Linked DNA regions of Xenopus tropicalis. The protein of the gene in region 2 purifies or fractionates together with the protein of the main gene of each other region. This does not show direct contact. Links are inferred from orthologs where the notes say so. Each region holds a gene or a part of one and is shown on either strand. Other genes may lie near its edges.

Evidence for each region.
Region 1: the proteins of xrn2 (region 2) and kpna1 purify together in Homo sapiens (affinity purification with mass spectrometry; 4 studies listed by BioGRID and IntAct, with this or other methods). This does not show direct contact. The link is inferred for Xenopus tropicalis from reciprocal best matches to the Homo sapiens genes XRN2 and KPNA1.
Region 3: the proteins of xrn2 (region 2) and cdkn2aipnl purify together in Homo sapiens (co-immunoprecipitation; 6 studies listed by BioGRID and IntAct, with this or other methods). This does not show direct contact. The link is inferred for Xenopus tropicalis from reciprocal best matches to the Homo sapiens genes XRN2 and CDKN2AIPNL.

Annotation. Positions count from the first base shown.
Region 1 is NC_030678.2:3,378,416-3,386,349, forward strand, and holds the start of kpna1 (importin subunit alpha-5), read left to right. Parts: upstream 1-2,875; 5' UTR 2,876-3,009; intron 3,010-7,934. Other genes in the region: taf13 (transcription initiation factor TFIID subunit 13), read left to right, coding at 1-80, 1,037-1,207. UniProt on the Homo sapiens protein: Functions in nuclear protein import as an adapter protein for nuclear receptor KPNB1. Binds specifically and directly to substrates containing either a simple or bipartite NLS motif.
Region 2 is NC_030681.2:36,280,185-36,287,457, forward strand, and holds part of xrn2 (5'-3' exoribonuclease 2), read right to left. Parts: intron 6,052-7,273; coding exon 5,916-6,051; intron 4,404-5,915; coding exon 4,296-4,403; intron 3,856-4,295; coding exon 3,766-3,855; intron 1,847-3,765; coding exon 1,774-1,846; intron 1-1,773. UniProt on the Homo sapiens protein: Possesses 5'->3' exoribonuclease activity. May promote the termination of transcription by RNA polymerase II.
Region 3 is NC_030679.2:26,509,484-26,517,226, forward strand, and holds cdkn2aipnl (CDKN2AIP N-terminal-like protein), read left to right. Parts: upstream 1-2,575; 5' UTR 2,576-2,629; coding exon 2,630-2,802; intron 2,803-4,124; coding exon 4,125-4,224; intron 4,225-5,162; coding exon of another isoform or gene 5,163-5,165; coding exon 5,166-5,174; 3' UTR 5,175-5,371; downstream 5,372-7,743.

The DNA.
Region 1 (7,934 bases), on a different chromosome or scaffold from region 2:
GATTTGGAGATGACCAGAACCCTTATACAGAGTCGGTGGATATCCTGGAAGATCTGGTGATAGAATTCATTACTGAGATGGTGCGTAAACAGAACATGTTTCCCACAGTGTGGCCCCTGCACCCTTCTGCCCAAATGCTGCAAATTATTAGTGAACACACTTAAAGACCTAAGATTGGCCCTTCCAGAGCTCTACGCGTAAAATGCCAGGATTTAGGGGCATGTTAACTAAGGTTGGAGATAAATATCACCATTGATGTTGCCCGTAGCAACCAGTCAGATCTTTGCTTTTGGTTTCTAACTTGTAGGTGATTGTTAAAATCTAATTGCTGATTGGTTGCTAAAAGCAACATCACTGGTGATATTTACCTCCAATCCTAGTAAATATGCCCCTTAGAGAGAGAAAAACCATGTACAGGGGGTACTTACTTTGTGAGCCACAGTAAAAAGGCTTGTGGAGCAACAGAAGCATCATACAAGTTCATGGAGGGGCCAAATAAGGGCTCTGATTGGCTATTAGACAGCCTCTATGCACAGCATATAGGGGGCTTTATTTGGAAGGAAAGCTTTTTATTCAACCAAAACTTGCCCTCAAGTCAGGAATCCAAAAATAACTACCTGGTTTGGGGGGCACTGAGAGCAACATCCAAGGGGTTGGGGAGCAACATGTTGCCCCCGAGTCACTGATTGGGGATCACTGGTCTGGAACATAAATATTAATTTCATTGAACTCTTTGGGTGCACGGTACTTACGGATAACAGCACCTCCCACCAGGAGGCAGGACAGTGTAGTAATTTCATTGGACTGATCACCCCTTTGTTTTAAGGCTTCTTATAGCTAGAGACTGGAGTGACTTAATGAGGTTCCTAGATCCCTTGGCTCAGTGCTAAAGACTAAGGGTGAATTTTCCATATTGTACAAAAACAACTTGCGCTGGCGTTACAGTCTGCAGCAGCTGTAACAGTACAGTTACATGGGCAGGTAGGTGGTTTCTCCCGTTTGCTTCATGTTCACACCCTATTATTCCTTTCCCTAGACCCACAAGGCAATGTCCATTGGGCGCCAGGGCCGCGTGCAGGTGGAGGATATCGTTTTCCTGATCAGGAAGGATCCACGCAAATTTGCCAGAGTCAAAGATCTGCTGACTATGAACGAGGAGCTGAAACGGGCAAGGAAAGCCTTCGATGAGGCCAACTATGGCTCCTGAAAGCCTGAGTGTGTTTCTGCTACAAATCTCAATTATCTGCCGACACCATTATACCTTTCTTTAGCCACTGTTTGGCTGCATCTGAAAATGTTATCACTGGGGGGTGGGCCTGTGAGACCCTCGGACATAACTTCTCACATCCTGATTGGCTAATAGTGATATAGTCTGTAGGTACAGTCCCTGCCAGCTCACAGTACCGACCCGTGTCTCTCTGCTCCCCCTTGTTTGTGTGTCTATTCCCTGGGCACTGCGTTTCCCCCATCACAATTACTGCAGGAAAGTCTGAGACAAAAGCTAAGGAACTGCTATAAAAGAAACGTTTTGCAGAAAACACTATAACCTCACTCACAATGACTGGATTTTAGGACATTGACAGAAAGTGCAGTTTTTTGTGTTAATTTATGTGTTATATGCGGGATGCTAATAAACTCCTTTTATACTAATAATATAAATGTTCCCCATTATTATTATTAGGGACAATGTTAGTTTGGTTACCTGACGGCTGTGAGTGAATGAAGGGTTATTTGCCCACTGCAGCTGGGCCTCACCTCTCCTTCCAGCGCTCTTACTGGCCAGGGCCCTTGGCAGCTCACATCCCCTGTTGCAGGGATCCCCAACCTTTCATTCCCGTGAGCCACATTCAAACAGAAAACGTTTTGGAGAGCAACAGAAGCATGTAAAAAGTTCCTGGAGGTGCCAATGAGAGTTATAATTTGGCAATTTGGTAGCCCCTATGTTGACTGGAAGCCTACAGAAAGCTCTGTTTGGCAATTACATTGGGTTTTTATGTAACTTGGTCAATTGAGAGGCCCCCAAAATATTAGTAAATTGACCTATTCTACCGCCATATATTGAAATTGCTGAATTATTTAGGGCTCTTGTAGGCCCCCTACACTCCAGGGCCCCCTGCAACCGCAGGGTCTGCTTACTCTATAGTTACGCCCATGATAATACCACAGAACACACCGCTTGTGTTATTACAGGGCCAATTCTATGTATAGTACATGCAGGAAAAGGTGATGTACCGTGTTAGCCAGTCAAAAATGTTTACAGGGTAACCCTTTTTAAATAAAAAATAACAAAAGTGGTATAAAGGTGATACCTTTATTGGCTAAGATAATCATAGCGCCGGGGGTCTAGTTACACGACCCCCGGCGCTATGATTATCTTAGTTAGCCAATAAAGGTATCACCTTTATACCACTTTTGTTATTTTTTATTTCAAAAGGGTTACCCTGTAAACACATGTATAGTACACACTGCCCAATGTAGGAAATTAGTTTGTGTCGGTTTTGGTACAAAGCTTAGACAAATAGCAGTATCTTCCTATTTGTCCAGTGTTATCTTGCATTCTGGGTGGAATTTGGAAAGAGAAATATCACCTGTCGTTTTTACCTGTAAATTATGTTTATTGACACTGTAATTGCGTAGGGTAACACATACAGAGGCGCAGCACTTGCCCTGTCACATTACCACCATTACGGCAGTGCGTCAGCCTCAAAATACAAGGTGTAGCAATATGGCGGCCGAGGTACGGAAGCGGCATTGGGCCAGTAGAGGGAAGACGAGCGCTCGCTAGAAGCTTCTGCCTCTGGGGTATAGCGCGCATGCGTACTGTTCTGATCTCCGTGCTCTGGGCATGCGCAGTTTCTTGCTCCCACACGCAGGACAAATACCGGCTGCTGTGGCGAGAGGCCGAAACCTGGGAACGGCGGCGGAGTGACAGTGGGAGCGCCGACACAGAACGGAACACGGTCCCCTTGGGCTTATTCAGTACCGACCAACGTGTGGAGGCCGAGCAAGGTGAGAGCCAGTGGCCGCTCTGCGTCAGAAGTGGGACCGGGGGAGCCAGCACCGCCCTGAGGGGCACAGGGGGGCAGTAAGCGCAGACCTGGGGCAGAAATGTCATTGAATGGGCAGTGGGGGCACGGAGAAGGCATTGATCAAAGCCCTATGGGCACAGAAGCGCATTGCTAGGGGCAATAAATAGTCCTGGGGGCAATATTCACAGCTTGTGGGGAAAAGAGTTGCCGGAAAGCGAAACCCTGGAGGCGCAAAGGGGACCAGAAGCAGGAGGAGCACTGTTTGGGAGCCATGGAGGGGCAGAAATTGCATGCTGGGGGCAGAAAGGGCAATAAGAACAGCACTTGGGTCCCAGGGGAGGCAGTAAAGCAGAGCATAGGGGCAAATAGGTTTGGCTAGTGAGGCTGTTAGAGCCCACATTTATCTGGATCTTTGGCTACAGATGTAGGGAATGAAGTGATCAATCAATTCTGAGTATTGCTGCCCTATAGTAATACTACTTACTAATATAGATATCTAAGTGTGTGGGTATATATATGTTATATACATTATACTAGGGGGCCAAGAGTAAGGTATAAATTAGAGATCCAGTATTCTGTTGGTGTTTGCTCAGATACTTGCGCTTCCAGTTCAGTTTAGCAGCTGTTTATAAATATTTATTTGTGAGTTCCTCAACCTAATCTTGTTTTTCCAGCTACATCTGGCACACACACATGCTGTGAGTCACTGACAGATTTCCTCTGCTGTGATTGGCTGGTTCCAGCATACGTCATAGGTCATTTATATCTCAATAAATAAAAGGGACATTAACGATTTGGGAAAAGCATGACTTATTCACTATATATTGGGGACATGTTTATATTAATGGCAGTTTCTGGAATGAAATGTTATTAGTGATTATTTATATGATCTGTAAACAGTCTCAGCTTGGTCGCCCTGTCTTCATAACTGGGGTCCCCCGTCCCCATTGTTAGCTGTCGCCCTTCTATACACAAGCAGGGAAACTGAACTAAAAAATCCTGGACAACAGTGGTGTGGGGGTTAATTAAACAGGTTGTTCATCTTGAAATAACTTTTAGTATGACGTAGACATTGATATTGTGAGACAATTTGTAATTGGTGTTGATTTTTTATTGTTTGTGGTTTTTCAGTTATTTAGTTATTTGGAGCAGCTTCTCCAGTTTGGAATTTCAGCAGCTCTCTGGTTGCTAGGGTCTTGTTTAACTTAGTAACCAGGCAGTGGGTTGCATGAGGGACTGGAATCTGATTAGGAGAGGAACTGAATATAAATAGAAGGAATACAAAAGTAACAATAACATTGTAAGCGCATGAAGCAAATGTTTTCCCACTGCCGGGGTCAGTGACCCCCATTAGAAAGCAGGAAAAAGGAGGGCTAATAATTCAAAAACTATAGAATAAAAGAAATACTGATGACCAAGTTGCTAGAATTAGGACATTCTGAGACAATTTGCAATTGGTCTTCATTGTTTACTTTTTGTTCCGCAGGTCTCTAGTATGGAATTTCAGCAGCTAAATGTTGCTAGGGTCCATTTTACCTTAGTAACCAGGAAGTGATTTGAAAGTGACTGATAAGAATAGTCGAGGGGCTGAATAAAAACATAAGCAATAAAATGGTAGCGTAACTGAGCAATAGTCTTTGGCTGCCGGGGTCAGTGACCCCCATTTGAAAGCTGCAAAGAGTTGGTAGAAGAAGACTAAAAGTTAAAAACTATAAAAAGGCGAAGACCAATTGAAAAGTTGCTTATATTAAAAGTTAACTTGCAGCTGAACTGCCCCTTTAACATGTGCAATAGATATAGTATATTATATATAGATCTCTCGTCAGCAGGACAGCGATGCACAGCCCGGTTATCTGGACTTGTGATTGGTGGGACTGGGTCATGTGTCCCCCTGCCTATGTCTGTGCTGACAATGGGGGGGGGCCCTGGTCAATTTTGGGACAGTGACATTGTTGCTCAGCCCCGGGGGAGTTGTGGGTAACTGGAACAATCGGCTGTGATTCCGAGAGAATTCAGTGGGGTTTATATTAGGGGGAAGCAGCAGGCACCGCAAATCCTTTAGGCACTTTGCAGCAGAACAAGCGCTGCTTTATGGCTTTGTGTAAACATAAACAGTGCGTATGATTAGTCTGCTGCTTCCCAGTAACAGTCTGCCTGCACAGCCTTAACCCCCTCAGCGCTGGCCTGGCTGTCTCGCTATTTTAGGCTTATACACCTGCCTAATACTTAGTGCAAATAGGCACCACTCCCTCTAAATTGCCTCCACTCGCCCCAAGTCCAGCAATTAGGCTGCTCCATTAAACCTACTCATTTCCCTAAAATCCATTTACTTTTACTCTACACTGGTTTCTGAATTATCCGCTGCTTGTCCGTAAAACTGGCCTTCAGGCTGGGCCCCCATAGCCCATAACAAGGTTACAGATATATAGAAACATTGGGGTAACAGTCACCCCGCTATAGTTCCAGGGGTACCCAGGGCACAAATAAGCACTCACCCCAAATCCCCCCCTAACTGGCCTTCAGGCTGGGCCCCCTTAGCCCATAACAAGGTTACAGATATATAGAAACATTGGGGTAACAGTCACCCCGCTATAGTTCCAGGGGTACCCAGGGCACAAATAAGCACTCACCCCAAATCCCCCCCTAACTGGACTTCAGGCTGGGCCCCCTTAGCCCATAACAAGGTTACAGATATATAGAAACATTGGGGTAACAGTCACCCCGCTATAGTTCCAGGGGTACCCAGGGCACAAATAAGCACTCACCCCAAATCCCCCCCTAACTGGCCTTCAGGCTGGGCCCCCTTAGCCCATAACAAGGTTACAGATATATAGAAACATTGGGGTAACAGTCACCCCGCTATAGTTCCAGGGGTACCCAGGGCACAAATAAGCACTCACCCCAAATCCCCCCCTAACTGGCCTTCAGGCTGGGCCCCCTTAGCCCATAACAAGGTTACAGATATATAGAAACATTGGGGTAACAGTCACCCCGCTATAGTTCCAGGGGTACCCTGGGCACAAAGAGAGAGGAGGCTACAGGACTGTAAGTGCTGAGTGGCCATTTCGCTAGTACAGTGAATTTAGTGTGATTACTCGCTCTGTGCTGTGACTCAGTTTCTGTCCCTAATCCCCCCCGGATTTAAGCAGCAGTTGCCGGCAGTTACTAACGAGGGATCATTAGTGATGGCACCCAGCATTAACCCCTAAAGCCTTGCCTGGCATCCTGAGCCCTTGCTTATTGCACAGTATTTCCCCCAATGCTTATATAGCGGAGGATTGTTTCCTGGGGCCCCCCTGTGTGCCTTTAATAGAGCACCCTTCCCATTTATAATTACTGGGTGGCCACTTGGTCCCTAATTTGCACCCCAGCCGGCAAACACTAGGGAGCCGGGTTGGAGTGACAGGGAGCCCTATTGGGGACAGGTGTTGGTGGGAGGAGGAAGGACTGGGGAATCCCAGTTAAATAAGAGAATCCAGAGCAAGTGAAGTGAATGTGCCTGGGAATCCCTTGTGCTGAGCCGGACTGGGAATTACCCCCCCCCCCCTGGGGCACAGAGAGTCTTCATCTGTAGCCTCCAGACACCCCTGGGTACAGTGTGCTGCCTCTATATATACACCATATACCATACACTATTTGATTACATGGAGTAATTGGGAGATGGCCATTACGTAATTCGGAGCTTTCTTGATAACAGATTTCCAGATCACAGATCCAATACCTGTATTACATTGTATTGTTCACCCCTAGGTTCCTTCTGTACAGCTGATGTGGGGGTTAAAATGTGACCCCAGGGATTCTGAAGGCAGCAGTGCTTGGGGGGGGGTAGGGGGGCATTTCTTTGCTCGTGGCTACCAGCCCCCCCCCCCAGCAGGGAATGCTCTGCACTTACCTCAGCAATACTTTAAATAGCGTGAGAACATGCTGTGCTCTGTACCCTGAGCTGTGAGCTGCCCTGTATGTGAGCAGGGAGATGCAGTTCAGTGTGGTGCATTATATATATAATATATTATAACATGTCTGGCTGACACGGGCTCACTTTGCTGCCCGTTGCACTAGGAGTTTTTTTCCTTTAGTTCCAGCTACTAATTCAGCTGCTGTTCTACTACAACTCCCAGAATCCCTTGTGAGACTGTGTGGTAGGAGCTGGCAAGGGGTGGGTGTTGGGCCAGGTTACTCTCCGTGGATAGGGGGGGATTAGCAGTGGTTCAGGGCACCATAATGGAAGCTGACGGGGTAAGAACAGGCAAATGCCCCTCCGTGCTGTGCAGCAGGGAGCCGGCTGTGTCGCTGATAGATCAGACGTGTGTTCCGCACTGATAGCCCCCGGCTCGCTGACAGATAGTGCCCTGTGTATTCTAATTGCTTTGGCTTCCAGGCGTAACGCGTGCCACTAGGGGGGCAGCTCCCTGCTCTACACACACAGCTGCTTCTGCCCCGTCCCCTTTCCCTTCCTGCGTCAGCAGCTACCGTCAGACGTGAAATAACTTACCCTTTATTTGTAGTGCAGCTGTGTGCTGGGGTAATAGCAAGGTGGGCACGTTAGAGACATGATGGGCGCGCTAGAGGCACGGTGGGCATGCTCGAGGTACATTAGAGACATGATGGGTGTGCTAGAGGCACGGTGGGCATGCTAGAGGCATCTTAGAGACATGATGGGCACACTCGAGGCATGGTGGGCACATTCGAGGCACGTTAGAGACATGATGGGTGCGCTAGAGGCACAATGGGCACGGTGGGCATGCTAGAGGCATGTTAGAGACATGATGGGCACACTCGAGGCATGGTGGGCACGCTCGAGGCACGTTAGAGACATGATGGGTGCGCTAGAGGCACGGTGGGCATGCTCGAGGCACGTTAGAGACATGATGGGTGTGCTAGAGGCACAATGGGCACGGTGGGCAT
Region 2 (7,273 bases):
GTTTCTGATATTCTCAGACTCTCTTTCATCAGGTATGGTACCTAGGGATTGGAAGAAGGCGAATGTCATTCCCATATTTAAAAAGGGAGTAAGATCTCAGCCTGGCAATTATAGGCCTGTAAGTTTGACATCCGTGGTGGGCAAGTTATTTGAAGGCTTGTTAAGGGATCACATTCAAAATTATGTAGTGGAGAATGCCATTATGAGCAGTAATCAGCATGGCTTTATGAAGGACAGGTCATGTCAGACCAATTTAATTGCTTTTTATGATGAGGTAAGTAAGAAGCTGGACAGTGGGGATGCAGTAGATATCATCTATTTGGATTTTGCCAAAGCATTTGATACCGTTCCCCACAAACGACTGCTTTCTAAGCTAAGGTCTATTGGTCTTAGTGAAGCCGTTTGCACATGGATAGAAAACTGGCTACAGGATTGGGTACAGAGGGTGGTTGTTAATGGTACATTCTCTACTTGGAATAAGGTCCTCAGTGGGGTCCCTCAGGGTTCTGTACTGGGTCCACTTTTGTTTAATTTGTTCATAAATGACTTAGGGGAGGGTATTATGAGTAATGTATCAGTGTTTGCAGATGACACAAAACTCTGCAGACCAGTCAATTCTATCCAGGATGTGACATCCCTGCAGCAGGATCTTGACCAACTGGCAATCTGGGCAGCTAAGTGGCAGATGAGATTTAATGTGGATAAATGTAAGGTCATGCACCTGGGATGTAAAAACATGCAAGCCCCGTATACCCTTAATGGGACTGCACTAGGCAAATCCATAATGGAGAAGGACCTTGGAGTCCTTGTAGATAATAAACTTGGCTGTAGCAAGCAATGCCAAGCAGCAGCTGCAAGGGCAAACAAGGTTTTGAGCTGTATTAAAAGGGGTATAGATTCACGGGAGGAGGGGGTTATTCTTCCCCTTTACAGAGCGCTGGTAAGGCCCCATCTAGAATATGCTGTTCAGTTTTGGTCTCCAGTGCTCAAACGGGACATTACTGAGTTAGAGAGGGTCCAGAGAAGGGCAACTAAGCTGGTAAAGGGTATGGAAAGTCTCAGTTATGAAGAAAGACTGGCCAAGTTGGGTCTGTTTACACTGGAGAAGAGGCGCTTAAGAGGTGACATGATAACTATGTATAAATATATAAAGGGATCATATAATAACCTTTCTAATGTTTTATTTACCAGTAGGTCCTTCCAACGGACACGAGGGCACCCACTCCGTTTAGAAGAAGGGAGGTTCCATTTAAACATTCGGAAAGGATTTTTTACAGTGAGAGCTGTGAGGTTCTGGAATTCCCTCCCCGAATCAGTCGTGCTGGCTGATACATTATATAACTTTAAGAAGGGGCTGGATGGATTCTTAGCAAGTGAGGGAATACAGGGTTATGGGAGATAGCTCTTAGTACTAGTTGAACCAGGGACTGGTCCGATTGCCATCTTGGAGTCAGGAAGGAATTTTTTCCCCTCTGTGGCAAATTAGAGAGGCTTCAGATGGGGTGTTTTTGCCTTCCTCTGGATCAACTAGTAGTTAGGCAGGTTATATATAGGCATTATGGTTGAACTTGATGGACGTATGTCTTTTTTCAACCCAACTTACTATGAATTTACTATGAATTTACTATGTGCAGGTCGAGAAATACCTGTACCTGACCCTAACCCGCCCGCTTCCAACCTGAACCCTACCCTTCATTTTATCTAGGCTAAATTCTATAAGAATGGACAAGAAATTTTAAATTTAACATTAGACAAATTGTATTTCTTAATTACCTTGCCAAGCAAACTTCTTTCCATTTAAATCAATAGCAAAGTCATCTGGATAGAAATCAATTATGCTGGAATCCTGCATTAATAAATTAAATGGAAATCAAAGTTAAAAAGGGACATAGTTAACAATTCAACTGAATAGCTATTGGCATATTTAAAAGCAAATAAAAGCTATATATTCTACATGGGCATTATAGCTCCTCTTCAACACTTAATTTAATAAGCACGTTTTGCCCTGAACATATAGGTTTGGCCTTTTTTTTTTTCTTCAAGAAATTTCTTGCTGTAAACAAATCTCAAACTGAAGGTCAAGTCACATTCTACTTCCTGCCTGTACAATCAAAGTAAATCAGTACTGAGCAACATGCAGGTTGACCAGACACTTATGGAACCTGTGGGTTGGGTGGATTTGTGTTGAAACCATTGCTAGTTTGGGTTGGTTGCAGGTCACACAGGGGAAGTACACTCCTCTGTAGTAATGTGTGGGTTGACCTGAAACTTGTGAAAGCAATGGGAGCGGGTTTGGGTTGAAATTTGAGCGACCAATGGGGTTTTGGGTTGGATGCGGGTCAGACTGGGGAAAGTACACTCCATTGCTGTCTTGGAACCACAGCAGAGCATACAACCCCTCTAAATACTATCGCTCTGTCCAGCATCTACAGATAAAACAATTGCTGTGGCAGCAGTCCTATTTTATATCAAAAAGGTATTTATCTACTACATGTGTGTAGAGATCCATGAATCTTACAAAAGCTAAATTTTTATAATCTATGACAGCATCGGACGCAAACACACTTTAGTTATACTGTAAAATTCAATTCATACCAAAAATTACAGGAGGCTCAGCACAAGAAAGTCTGAAATTAATTACCGATTACAGTTATAATGTGGTAAAAACAAATTCTAACAACTGACACGGGAAAACAAAGCAGCTAACAAGGTTTTCTGAATTATCACTATTTAACATAAAAGAGCCATGAATATCCTGTAAATTATATCCTTATAAACAGTAATTTCTGTCACATGGAAAAAAGGTAAGGAGGGGGGAATGGCTGACAGACTCTGGGGTCGGGAAAGGACTGATTTGAGTCTTGAATTACATGAACTTACATGGTTTAATTCAAACAGTGGAATCAGGTACAATCTGTATGCACTTTAACATGAGCCCAGCTGGTTGGGAAGGCACTCAGCACTGTAGGATAGGAACCAATCAGCAGCTAGGCTGACCTGATAAGGAACTTGTAGCCTGTCTTTGCTTGTGTGACTGCAGGGCTGTGATTGGCTATTCCCCCTACTGTGCTTCAGACAGGCATTGTCAGGACACACCCACACCTTATTTAAAGAATAAGTAAACTTTTTTTATTCTATGAGTAAAATTACTCTAAACAGCCCCCAGAATTACTTACCTTTGTCCCAGCATTCTCTCTGACCTGTTTCCTCAGTCAGAAGGTATTCGTTGCTTCCTTGTGCAGAGTGAAGCCCCGCCCCCACTTCCTGTTCAGGTCTCTCATCAAAAAAAAAAAACCCAAAAAAAAACAGCTAATGCACAGACTGGCTCCTGCTGCCTCCAGGCATGCGCAGAAGGCTCTCCACTCCGACAACCTTGTCGAATTGAAAAGAGAACTGAACAGGAAGTGGAGGTGGGGCTTCACTCTGCACAAGGAAGCAGCCAAAAAGAATACCTTCTGACTGAGGAAACAGGTCAGAGAGCATGCTGGGACAAAAGGTAAGTAATTCTGGAGGCTGTTTAGAGTAGTTTTACTCATAGAAAAAAAAAGAGGTTTACTTATTCTTTAAAACTCAGACAGGGACCATAGCAGATCTATAGGGCCATTTTTACAGATAGGAATCTCTAGCCCAATGTGAAACCAGCACCATATATTATTCATGAACGCATCTTTGAGGGTTGCCAACAATATGCAAAAATCATTTTTTTGGTGGAGCCGTCTTTTACAGAGTAACACATCGAACATTTAAATAGAGTAGAATGCTTACGGGATCATTCATAAGCCTTCTCCATGACTCTGGTAGAAAGTTACCACTAGCTGCTGGAAACACTCCCATAAGTTGTTCAAGTGGTTTAAACTGAAAAGAAAAAAAAAATGCTGTTCATGAATGCAGCATTATTTGGAAAGTATCAATAGCATCATCAGTACCCAACTAAATTTTATTGGCAGGGACCACAAATCAAACAAATGGTCTGAGGACAATAAAAAACCATAATCACTTGTTACACTTGCTGCTGTACAACCAGTACTGCTGCTATTAGGTGAATTTTTTTTTTTTTTTTTTAACTTTGTCATGTCTGGCGGCTTTTGGTGCACTATGTCCCCAATGATATAAGGGCCAGTGAATTCAAACCTCCTTACAGAAATATTTGAAGTCGTCACTGAGGTGATGTATAATAGTAAATGATTATGTATCTATATCTTTCTTTATATAGTACAACAGTATGGAGAACAAAATAGATGACTCAGGCAGAATTAGCAAGGAGGGTGAAGTAATTTAAAACATGGCTCACTTACCGGTTTTGTGCCCTTTTCAAACTCTTTGAAAAGGCATGAAATGTTTTCGAAGTCAGAGGCAAAAGGAGCATAATGAAATGGAAAGAACCACTTCCAAGAAGCACAGCCCTATTAACAAAAGATTAAAAATGAAAGGGAATTAATGGGAAAAAACAAGATTATTTTAAGATGATTTGTCCAGCACAAAATGTATTACTGTATGATATAGTGAAGCCACAGTTAACCAAAAGTCAGACTACTACATCAAATCTTAATCTAAGCCAGAGTATGCAGGTTATTGGTTCAAACCAGTTGGTTGCCTCCTCAAAGTAGAGTAGCAAATTTAAGCAATTCAAACAGCATAAGGCAGGACCAATCCACACACAAAACACTTTGAAATATTGGGCAGGGTAATATTTTGTTAATGTCTACCTAGATGTTAAAGGTAGGAGAGCAAATCCAGAATCATTATGTAGAACTTTGAATCATGTTTGATCTACAGCAGTGCTGTCCAACTTCTGTGGTACTGAGGGCCGGAATTTTTCCGACCTACGTGGTGGAGGGCCGATAATGGAAGCCAGTTTTGACTACTCCCCTTTTGAAACCACACCCACTTGAAACCACACCCATGTTATCACATGACCATACCCATATTAATGGTTGTAGTACAGCAAAAACCTGCCATACTCTGCCTGCCCTACCCTGCCTGTGTGTGCCATACTCTGCCTTCCCTACCCTGCCTGTGTGTGCCATACTTTCACTGTGTTTGCCATTCTTGGCTGGTTTGTGCCATACTTGGCCTGTGTGCCATACTCTGCCTTCCCTACCCTGCCTGTGTGTGCCATACTCTGCTTGCCCTATGATGCCTGTGTGTATGGCACACACAGACAGCCTACAGTGACACAATGCTGGCACTGCTCCTACAGTCTGCACAATAACTATATATTAAAAAACTTTTTAATTGCAGTACTACCTCAGTATATGTTCTTTTTGTAGTGTGCAGGGATTATTTGTGGGTTTCTACTGCTCCTGAGGTGTGAACAGGGGAACAATATGGGTGATTACAGCCTGATCCTGAGGTGTGAACACTGCAGGGGGTGAACAATGCAGAGATTAAAAGGTGTGAACAACACAGGGGATTACATATTTAAACAATACAGCCTGATTACAGCCTGAATCTGAGGTGAGAACCATGCAGGGGGCCAGTTAATCACAGTACTGATAGCATTTAAAGCTTACACAAGAGTAAGCCATCAAAGCAGCCAGACAGGGGGGGGCCACACAGAGGGGGGTCGCGGGCCGCAGCCGCCAGTTTGACAGCACTGATCTACAGCATATAGAACCTGCTGTTGGCATTAACCTTGGTGCTACAAAACGACAAAATACTTTCCCGTTGCTATTAGTGCATTACATTTTTCTCAAGACAGATTATGCAGTTTCCCTTTACAGCTGAATCAGTTAAATCACTTTCACAAGCAAAATAAAATGTTCTATGGCTCAACCACAGCAGTATCACTCTGCAATGGGGCTAATGGCTGCACATAGGCTTTCTCCACAAATTGTTGCACTAGTGCGGTTTTCTTTGCTTCTTCACAGCTTCTTTGCTGTGAAGAAGGAAGCAGCAGAAGAACAACTAAGTACCTGGTAATAATATCTCAGAACCCAGCAAAGGCCTTCAACATACGACTGTACTACTTTGCGGCGAAACTTTTCATCACTTGCATCAACATCAAACTTGTTTTTGTAGTAGCGCTGTTTCCAGCCTTCTTCCCATAATCTGAAACAAAAAACACAAAAAAATGAAAGCATTAATATCAGCTTCAAAATAACTGCATCTGCACTGTTTAAGAAAAACAGAAAAAAAACAATTTGTAAATCAATTAACCTACTTGACATTGCAGTACACAATTTAAACCATTTACTTATAATGTACTGAACTGTATTAGAACAATGGGTAAACCACTAAACTTTTATCCATTATGAAATATAATTAATGTTTCATTTATTAGGGCCCTTGAATACCATCAATATAATAAAATTACATTTACACTTTCTGATTCATTCAATCTAAGACTTAGCGCCAGCAATTTTTGAAGGATTTAAGTCCTTTAGTTTTTGCCTAACTAAAGCCAAACCCTAAAATATATTTGCCTAAAAAGCACTGGACACTGAAGGTGACAAGTTTGTTTTTTTTTGATGATGGAAATTCTTAAATTTAAAAATGCAAATTAGGGTTTGGGATAGTATTCATCCAAATCTTTGGTGCAAGCATAGGTATTTAACCAAATCCAACACTGGATACACTGCATCCCTTCTGTCCAACCGTGCTTACACTACCCAAGTGTAGGAAGTACAACTTGTTAGTAGAGGAGATTCTTATTGCCCCATGTATCTAAGGCCTAGTTCAGCCGCCAACTTATTTCTAACTGAATGGGGGCTTTGGTTGTCACCACCAGCCATCAGTAAGCTAGACAGGTGAAGAAATTATCAGGGCTGTGGAGTCAGTAGATAAATTCTCCGACTCCTCAGTTTCTGATACGTCCGACTCCACCTCCTCTGTTTTTAATATGCTAATGTATTTTATACATTCATACAGTCAATGAAAAGCATGCTTCATGGTCACTCAACGTGTTCGTTTATGCACTGCGTGCATTGGGCTTTATTCTTATAGCAGAGAAGTAATTAATTATGACTGTTTGTGAATTGGGACATTTAAACTTGCTTTATTTTTTTTTTATTCCCATTTAAATTTAGTAGGAGTCGGTTCATTTTTTGCCGACTCCAGGTACCCAAAATTGCCCCCGACTCCGACTCCACAGCCCTGGAAATTATCCATGGCTAGTAGCTATCTGTTCTAGACGCAACATGTTGGCATGACCCTTTTGGCTTAGGCAAGAAACAGTAGCAGAAAGCACAGATGACTAAACAGATACTGACTAAACAGATCACTAAAACAGAACCTTTGGAATCTAGATTTAGCCTTTGGCTAAATCATAGGC
Region 3 (7,743 bases), on a different chromosome or scaffold from region 2:
GGCTGTAGCAAGCAATGCAAGGCAGCAGCTGCAAGGGCAAACAAGGTTTTGAGCTGTATTAAAACTGGCATAGATTCACAGGAGGGGGTTATTCTTCCCCTTTACAGAGCGCTGGTAAGGCCCCATCTAGAATATGCTGTTCAGTTTTGGTCTCCAGTGCTCAAACGGGACATTATTGAGTTAGAGAGGGTCCAGAGAAGGGCAACTAAGCTGGTAAAGGATATAGAAAATCTCAGTTATGAAGAAAGACTGGCCAAGTTGGGTTTGTTTACACTGGGGAAGAGGCGCTTAAGAGGTGACATGATAACTATGTATAAATATATAAGGGGATCATATAATAACCTTTCTAATGTTTTATTTACCAGTAAACGGACACGAGGGCACCCACTCCGTTTAGAAGAAGGGAGGTTCCATTTAAATATTTGGAAAGGATTTTTTACTGTGAGAGCTGTGAAGTTGTGGGATTCCATCCCTGAACCATTAGTACTGGCTGATACATTATATAGCTTTTAGAAGAGGTTGGATGGATTATTAGCAAGTGAGGGAATACAGGGTTATTACAGATAGCTCTTAGTACAAATTAATCCAGGGGCTGGTCTGATTGCCATCTTGGAGTCAGGAAGGAATTGTTCCCCCTCTGTGGCTTCAGATGGGGGGTTTTGCCTTCCTCTGGATTAAGTATAAGTTAAGCAGTTTATATATAGGCTTATATATAGGCATTATGGTTGAACTTGATGGACCTATGTTTATTTTCAACATAACTTACTACATTAATAAATAAAAATTTATTGAAATAAAAAAGAGACGAGGCCCAGACTGGGTGGCTAAAATTACTAGGACTGACAAAAGAAAGTAGCAGGTCAGTTCTGGTGTGCTGCTTCATTTTGGCATCAGTAACCTAGAAGGATGTGTAACCCCTATTTAGCTATAAAAAAGACAAAACCCAGGCTAGTGTAAGGTTAGAGCATGGGGTACATGCGACTCTCTGGACAGGATGGGCCTTGGCTATGTGGAAGAGTCCATGCGAAGCAAGGCTGTAGGAAAACTACAACTCACTGTAGCTGTGTGCAGTGCAATTTAACAAAGATGGACGCCAGAAGGTTCTTGCAGTTGAACTATAGCACAAGTTTATTGTCAAAGACAATTGAAATGCAGGCTTATAGCTATGTACTCACATACAGGCAGATATAGCAGAACCCACTGAGGATAACAACGGTTTATGCCACCTCTTTTGGGAGACTGGGCAGGGTAAAACACCTGTCAGCTTGGCACCACTTTGGAAGGCAGTCTGTATAGTTACTCCAATCCTAATGTTGATAACCTTTAACTTGTGTGGGTCCTACGGCCAGGTATGGATCAGGGTTTGCACCTGTATCCTGTCACTTATCCGTGGCCCTAAGCTAAGGCAACATTGCCGGATGGAAGGGTACTTCCTTTCTGAACTTCTGGTTTGGGCCTGACCTTCCCTTGCTATCTAGTTCTAGCTATCTCTCTCTCCTAGAGAGTGCTCTTACAGTTTTGCTATTCTGACTAATCCTCATTCACGGGGCCCTGTCCCCAACTTCACCAGAGTGGATGTTAACTCTGGGGCAAATGGCTTTACTGGGGCCTTGTCCTGCTCCCAGGCTCAGTGACCTGTTCCTGAGACACAGAGGCAGCCAAAGAGACACACCCTCCTGCTAAACACTATATGAGTTTGCAAGAGGTGTGGTCAACCCAAATAACCAATAGGTATAAGGTATAACTATAAACTGATACATGGGTCTTTGCCCAGTAACAGCAGAAATAAGGAAGAGATAGGGGCAGATTAACCCTATGGGTCCCTACAGATGTATGTAAGCCAAGTGACACCTAAACAGAAAGGTATAGGGGTAACAAGCATGAAATGGTCCCATCACTCCCAGTATAGAATGGCACACTAGTGACCATAACAACAGACTGGCATATGTGGAACAACATGAATTGGCACAGGCACCTTTATCAGTATCATAAAATGGCATAGTGACGCCCCCTACTCCCCCAGAAAAGTAAATTGTTCCTCTGCCACATGATTGGCATTAAATGGAAGCATCTCCCTGCAGGGAATAACAGTTACCCCCACATCTCATGGCCCAACATGACAGAAATCCCTCCAGTATATTAAGACAAAAGGCCTTAGCGTATCCCATTAACCACTGCCATACCCCAACATATAACGGCACAGTAACCCTGCCTTGTCCCCAGTACCTCACGGCACTCCCCATCACTGACTCACATGACATCACTATATCACGATGACTATCCCCGCCCTTCGTAACTTTAGGGCTCAACCCCCTCCCAAGGCACATAGATTCCCGCCCAACCCAGAAAACACTAGGCTTCCTTAAATCGAATTTTATTGTTATAGACGTACACCCAAAGCATGTGGCGAGCGATTTTATCGCGCCCCGTATTGATATTCATTCCCTCAGCATTACGTCATTACGTCCCCTCGCACTAGTTGTTCGTTTCCCTAGCACTACGTCACTACGTGGAAGTGCTCCTGAGCCGCTCCAAACACCATAGAGCTGATACCGGAAGTGACCCATGCCTGCTCGCCAGACAAAGGAAGTTCGTATGTTTTGCTGAGTATCTTATTTCCGTACACAATATGGCGGCAGAATTTGTCGGGCAATTTCAAAGCTTTTCTGAAAGCGATAAGCAATGGCAGGCGAGAGAAGAATTTATTATTAGAAACCTGAAGCATTTCGAGGATGAGAGCGCTCTAGATCGGCTGCTGGCTTTATCCATGGTTTGGGCTAATCACGTGTTCATGGGCTGCCGGTAATGTAGTGTTATTGTACTGAGCTATACACTCTCTGTGCTTGCATTATTGCTCCAAGCAGTTATACGAACATGTACATTGCTTTGTGTTTTTAAAGTGAATGTAGACACCCACGCACCCATTTTGCTACTGCATTATTTACATTGCATTTGCTGTCATTTCTGCAGCAGCTAGGATCTTCACCCCCAAAATGTGGTTTTGCATGGTGAAATGAAATGCAGAGCTGCCAAGCAGCCCTAGGTCATGAGGAAGATTGTGATCCACTCCAGGCCATTTTGAGACTTTATTTCATGTTATTATTTGAAGTGTAAAGTAGAATTTAGACATAAAAAATCCAAGACTGGATCATTGTCTCTTTTATGATATGGAGTTGGTCGACAGCTCTGGAAATACGATTCTAAGTAACTTTCCAATATATATGTCTACTTTTTTCCCCGCTGGTGATAAAGTAACGTGCAAAAAAAAGCAGGACTTAATTGGCTGTTTACATTCACTGCATTCCTGGATCTGACTCCTGAAACAATGCTGTGAGCCAGCTGATTAAAGGAACAGTAACACCAAAAAAATAAAAGAGCTTTAAAGTAATAAAATTATAATGCACTATTGCCCTGCACTGGTAAAACTGGGGTGTTTGCTACAGTAACACTACTATAATTTATATAATAAGCTGCTGTGTAGCCATGGGGGCAGCCATTCAAGATGGAGAAAAGGCACAGGTTACATAGCAGATAACAGATAAGTTCTGTAGAATACAAAAGTGTTTTATCTGCTATGAGCCTGTGCCTTTTCTCATTTTAATGGCTGCCCCCATGGCTACATAGCAGCTTATTTATATAAATTATAGTAGACTTTCTGAAGTAAACACACAACTTTTACCAGTAGCAGGGCAGCAGCACATTATATTTTAGTTACTTTTATACACTTTAATTTTTTGGTGTTACTGTTCCTTTAAAAGAGGGGTTATTCTATTTCAGGAGTCAGACCCAGGAAACAGAAAGGATAAACAAACACTGCCTTAAGGGGTCCAAACACATTAAGATCTGATCGTTTGTCAAAGTCACCAAACTAGGGGATCTTCTCCCAATATGCCCACTAGTGATGCACAGAAATACTCAACCCCAACTGACCTCCTCCCTTTATTTATAGACCCGCCCATGCCCCCGCAATGATGTCACAAAAGGGCATGCCAGACGCCTGATGCATCATCTTTGTAAAGTAATATGTTGATGGTAATAAAGCTATTATACACAAGCTCTGAAATCACTGATCACAGTTTAGGCATTACATGCTGAACAATTATATATTCTTTTTGTTTTCTCAGTTACAGCAATGAACTTTTGGAAAAAGTCTTTAGTATGGCAGAAGGCATTGTAGTAGAAGATGCTCCACATTTTACTACAAGAGATGAAATAATGAAGCAGGTAACAGCATCATATTTTAAATGGGTGCCATAAGTTTTTTGTGTCCTCTTTAAGGAACATGTATATAGGTAAAATATTTAAATAGTGTTAAGGAGATGTCTAGCTGGAGGCCCATGATGTAAAAGTGGCTCCTCATGGACAGTATTACAGAATGTAACTTGCAGGCTGCTTGCTCATCTGGTCTCTCTGACTTGTGATGGCATTGCATGCACCTGTTTTGTTATAGTGCACAGAGTAGGCATTCCTCCCTGGACTCATGTGCCAGACTATAATAATATACAAAGAGTAATAGTGGTAGGAGTGTGGCTAAGTCTGCATAAACCAGCTGTACATGGGGATCAGACTACCATCAGTCCCATGTTTAGTGCAGCCAGCTGTAGGAGGTACCTAGTGTAGGGAGTGTGTGGGGTTCCGACACCTAGTACCTCCTGTTATGGATATACACTTGGTTTGCCCAAGTCTGGATAATGCCCATTTTACTGTACAAGGAAACCAGGGCACCAGGATATTAGGTAGAAACTCTCCAGATTCAAACTGCAGTCCAGGTGCATCAGCATCAGACCCTCTGCATAGGGAAGTGGAAAACCATCAGCTACAGAAAGATGGGCACCCAATGAGTCCACCATGGCCACCAATGTAAAAAAAAAATAAATGTATCTTTGATATTAACATTTTAAAGCCTTTGATATAAAATACATCTGATATAAATAAGATACATTTTTACATCTGTGGCCATGGCCCAGATGATTCCAAGTAACTACTTATTTTTACATGCCTCTTATTATGTCTTGCAAATACTGTTGTGTAAAGGGCATAGGAGGTGCATAAATAAGAGTGTTTCTTTTGCAATTAAAACTGTGTTGGGATTTTACTATGAAATAAAACTGCATTTCTAACAGAAACCCTTGATGAGTAATTTGCAACTCTTTCTTTTCCAGCAGAATCGTTAGCTGACGACATGAAACACTCATTCAGCTTCCTGTTCACAGATGTCTGGCATTTAAAGATTTGTGTTAAAAATCCATATAGAATGCCCTTATCAAACAAACTGACTTGGTTGTTTAGTCAAGAACAAATAATATTGGCTGCCAAGCCTTTTTAACTTTTTTTTTTTCCAGCAAAAATAAAAATATTGAATTTTTTTTTTTAATAGAAGACTCTATTTTAATTATTATTACTAAAGTCAACACAGCAGCTGTCCATTAGCCGATCAGGTCCAGTTCTCATGACATTTTACCCAGTCTTACGAGTGACAAGGCCGTTCTTAGTGTGGATTTGGGGGCAGGTTCAAGTGGCAAATTGTGCAATCACTGACCCCCCTTCCCTTTAAAAGTCTTTAAGTTAAAGTAGGTACCTAATATTTTATAATTATGAATGCATAAAATTAACAGCCTCCCTGCATGCTCAAGATGCACGTTCCTCCAATAATAGTGCAGATGTAAATAATGCAGCACTGACTGAGTTTACCCAGTGCTTACCCAAGTGCAAGCATTGTTTCAGTAATATATTTAAGTAAAAATATAGTTTTCTTTTTCTTCAGGCAGAGCACTGTTATCCCAGTATCTGTGTATTCCCTGTGAGAATCATTTATAAACACTGGGCAAATTGCTGCGCTTGGCAGTAAAGCTGGCCATACACTAGGAGAGCCACTTGTTTTGGCAAGGTTGCCACATAAGCAGATCTGGGCAATTGTGTACAGGGCCTAATCAGGCTGATCCAATTGTTGCCCACATATGGAGAAGCCTACAGACCAGTCAGATGAAGATTGCATCAACGTTAGAATAAGCAATTTACTGGCATAACAAGGCTATTACAAGCGGGAAAATTGTTTATTCAATGCACGCCATGTAAAGTTTGGGGCACGCCTCTTCATCAGACATGTCTGACATGCCCTGAAACATTACATGGCTTGCACTGAATAAATGTTGTTATAGCCTTGTTGTGCCAGTAAATTGCTTATTCTAAGGCAAGGATCCCCAACCTTTTATACCCGTGAGCCACATTAAAATAGAAAAAGTTTTGGAGAGCAACACAGGCATGAGGTGCCAATGAGAGCTATGATTGGCTATTTAATTGCCCCTATGTTGGCTGGAAGCCTACAGAAGGCTCTGGGAGCAACATCCAAGGGGTTAGCGAGCAACATTTTTCTCACGAGCCACTGGTTGGGGATCACTGTTCTAAGGTTTAGTGGGGCTGCCGATCCCTCCTTATATACTGACCACCAGGCGGAATTTATTTGAAAGAATAGGGTGTGCTGGTGAGTTTTGAATTTATCTGCATCAATGTGCCATACAGTCCTCGTTTGGTGGATAAAACCTAACCTGTCCAATACATATCTGGCTGGCACATCTGTCGGCTCCATACATGGGCCAATAAGAAGCTATCATTAGCATGTGTTTGGCTACCTGAACCTATGGAAATCAATCAGATGTGTGCCTTCATTGTTATACCTGCAACTGGCTGAAAAAAGCTAATAACTTTTTGGTTGCTGCTGAAGTGAAAATTAGCCCAGTGTTTATAAATAAGCTCCAGTGATTTTTTTTTTCCCATGCCATTCTTTTGTCTTAAGAAGCACCTGTGGTCTCTCCTCTTCACTTGATAATGAAATTTCAGGCAGTGCAGGTATAAGTGCTTTTTGGCTTAAAGTGTACATATAACACTCCAAGGATAAAATGAAAAATAGTGTATGAAGCACAGGGTTTGTATATTTTAGATGATGGATTAATAAAGGTTATTTTTCATTTTATCCTTTGAGTGTTATATAATTTATTTTTTTTCCCCCCATTTGATGCTGGGGTCCTAAATCGCACTCCTTGGTTTATATATTGATATTTGATGTTAATATCCATCAGTGCAGGGTGCTGAATTTCAATATCCAAGAAGCATGAGTAATTATGATGTGTTTGGTATCAATTTTTTTTTGCAACCAAAAGACCTGAAACTACTGAAGAATAAAACAGTTACATTCCTGGCAATTAGAAGCTTTTTTTGCAACAGGTGCTGGCAGCAGTGTAAAAGGGGACATAGTATCAAGAGCAAGTATTTGCCACTGCAATATACACCTCTAAAAATAGAAGATATGCCTTTGAAAGTTGTTGTATTACATAACCCCAAAACATTGCCAACATTAGCCAGCCATTTCAGCTTGCAGTACTGTAACCTTAGCACACCAGAAAGGGAACTGTAGTTATATCTAGGTGTAAAAGCAGAGCTGTGTGATAAGCTCCCTATTGTGCCAGTGGAAGAGAACAATTAGGGCACATTGTAGCATACATGTAGCCCATAGAGAATCTATGGGGAGCTTCATTCATGTTATGTATTTGTTATTTTTTTCCATCGCTCAGACTGAATCAGGTACCATATATTATCCATCATTGCCTACACTGAATATCCCAAAGGACCAAACAATTAAGCAGCCAATATAAGCTACCATCTTGGCTTTTTCAGACCAAGGCAGCAATTAACCTGACCTAACTGGGCAGAGATCCAGCCAAACTGATCTCAGTGTATATGGACACC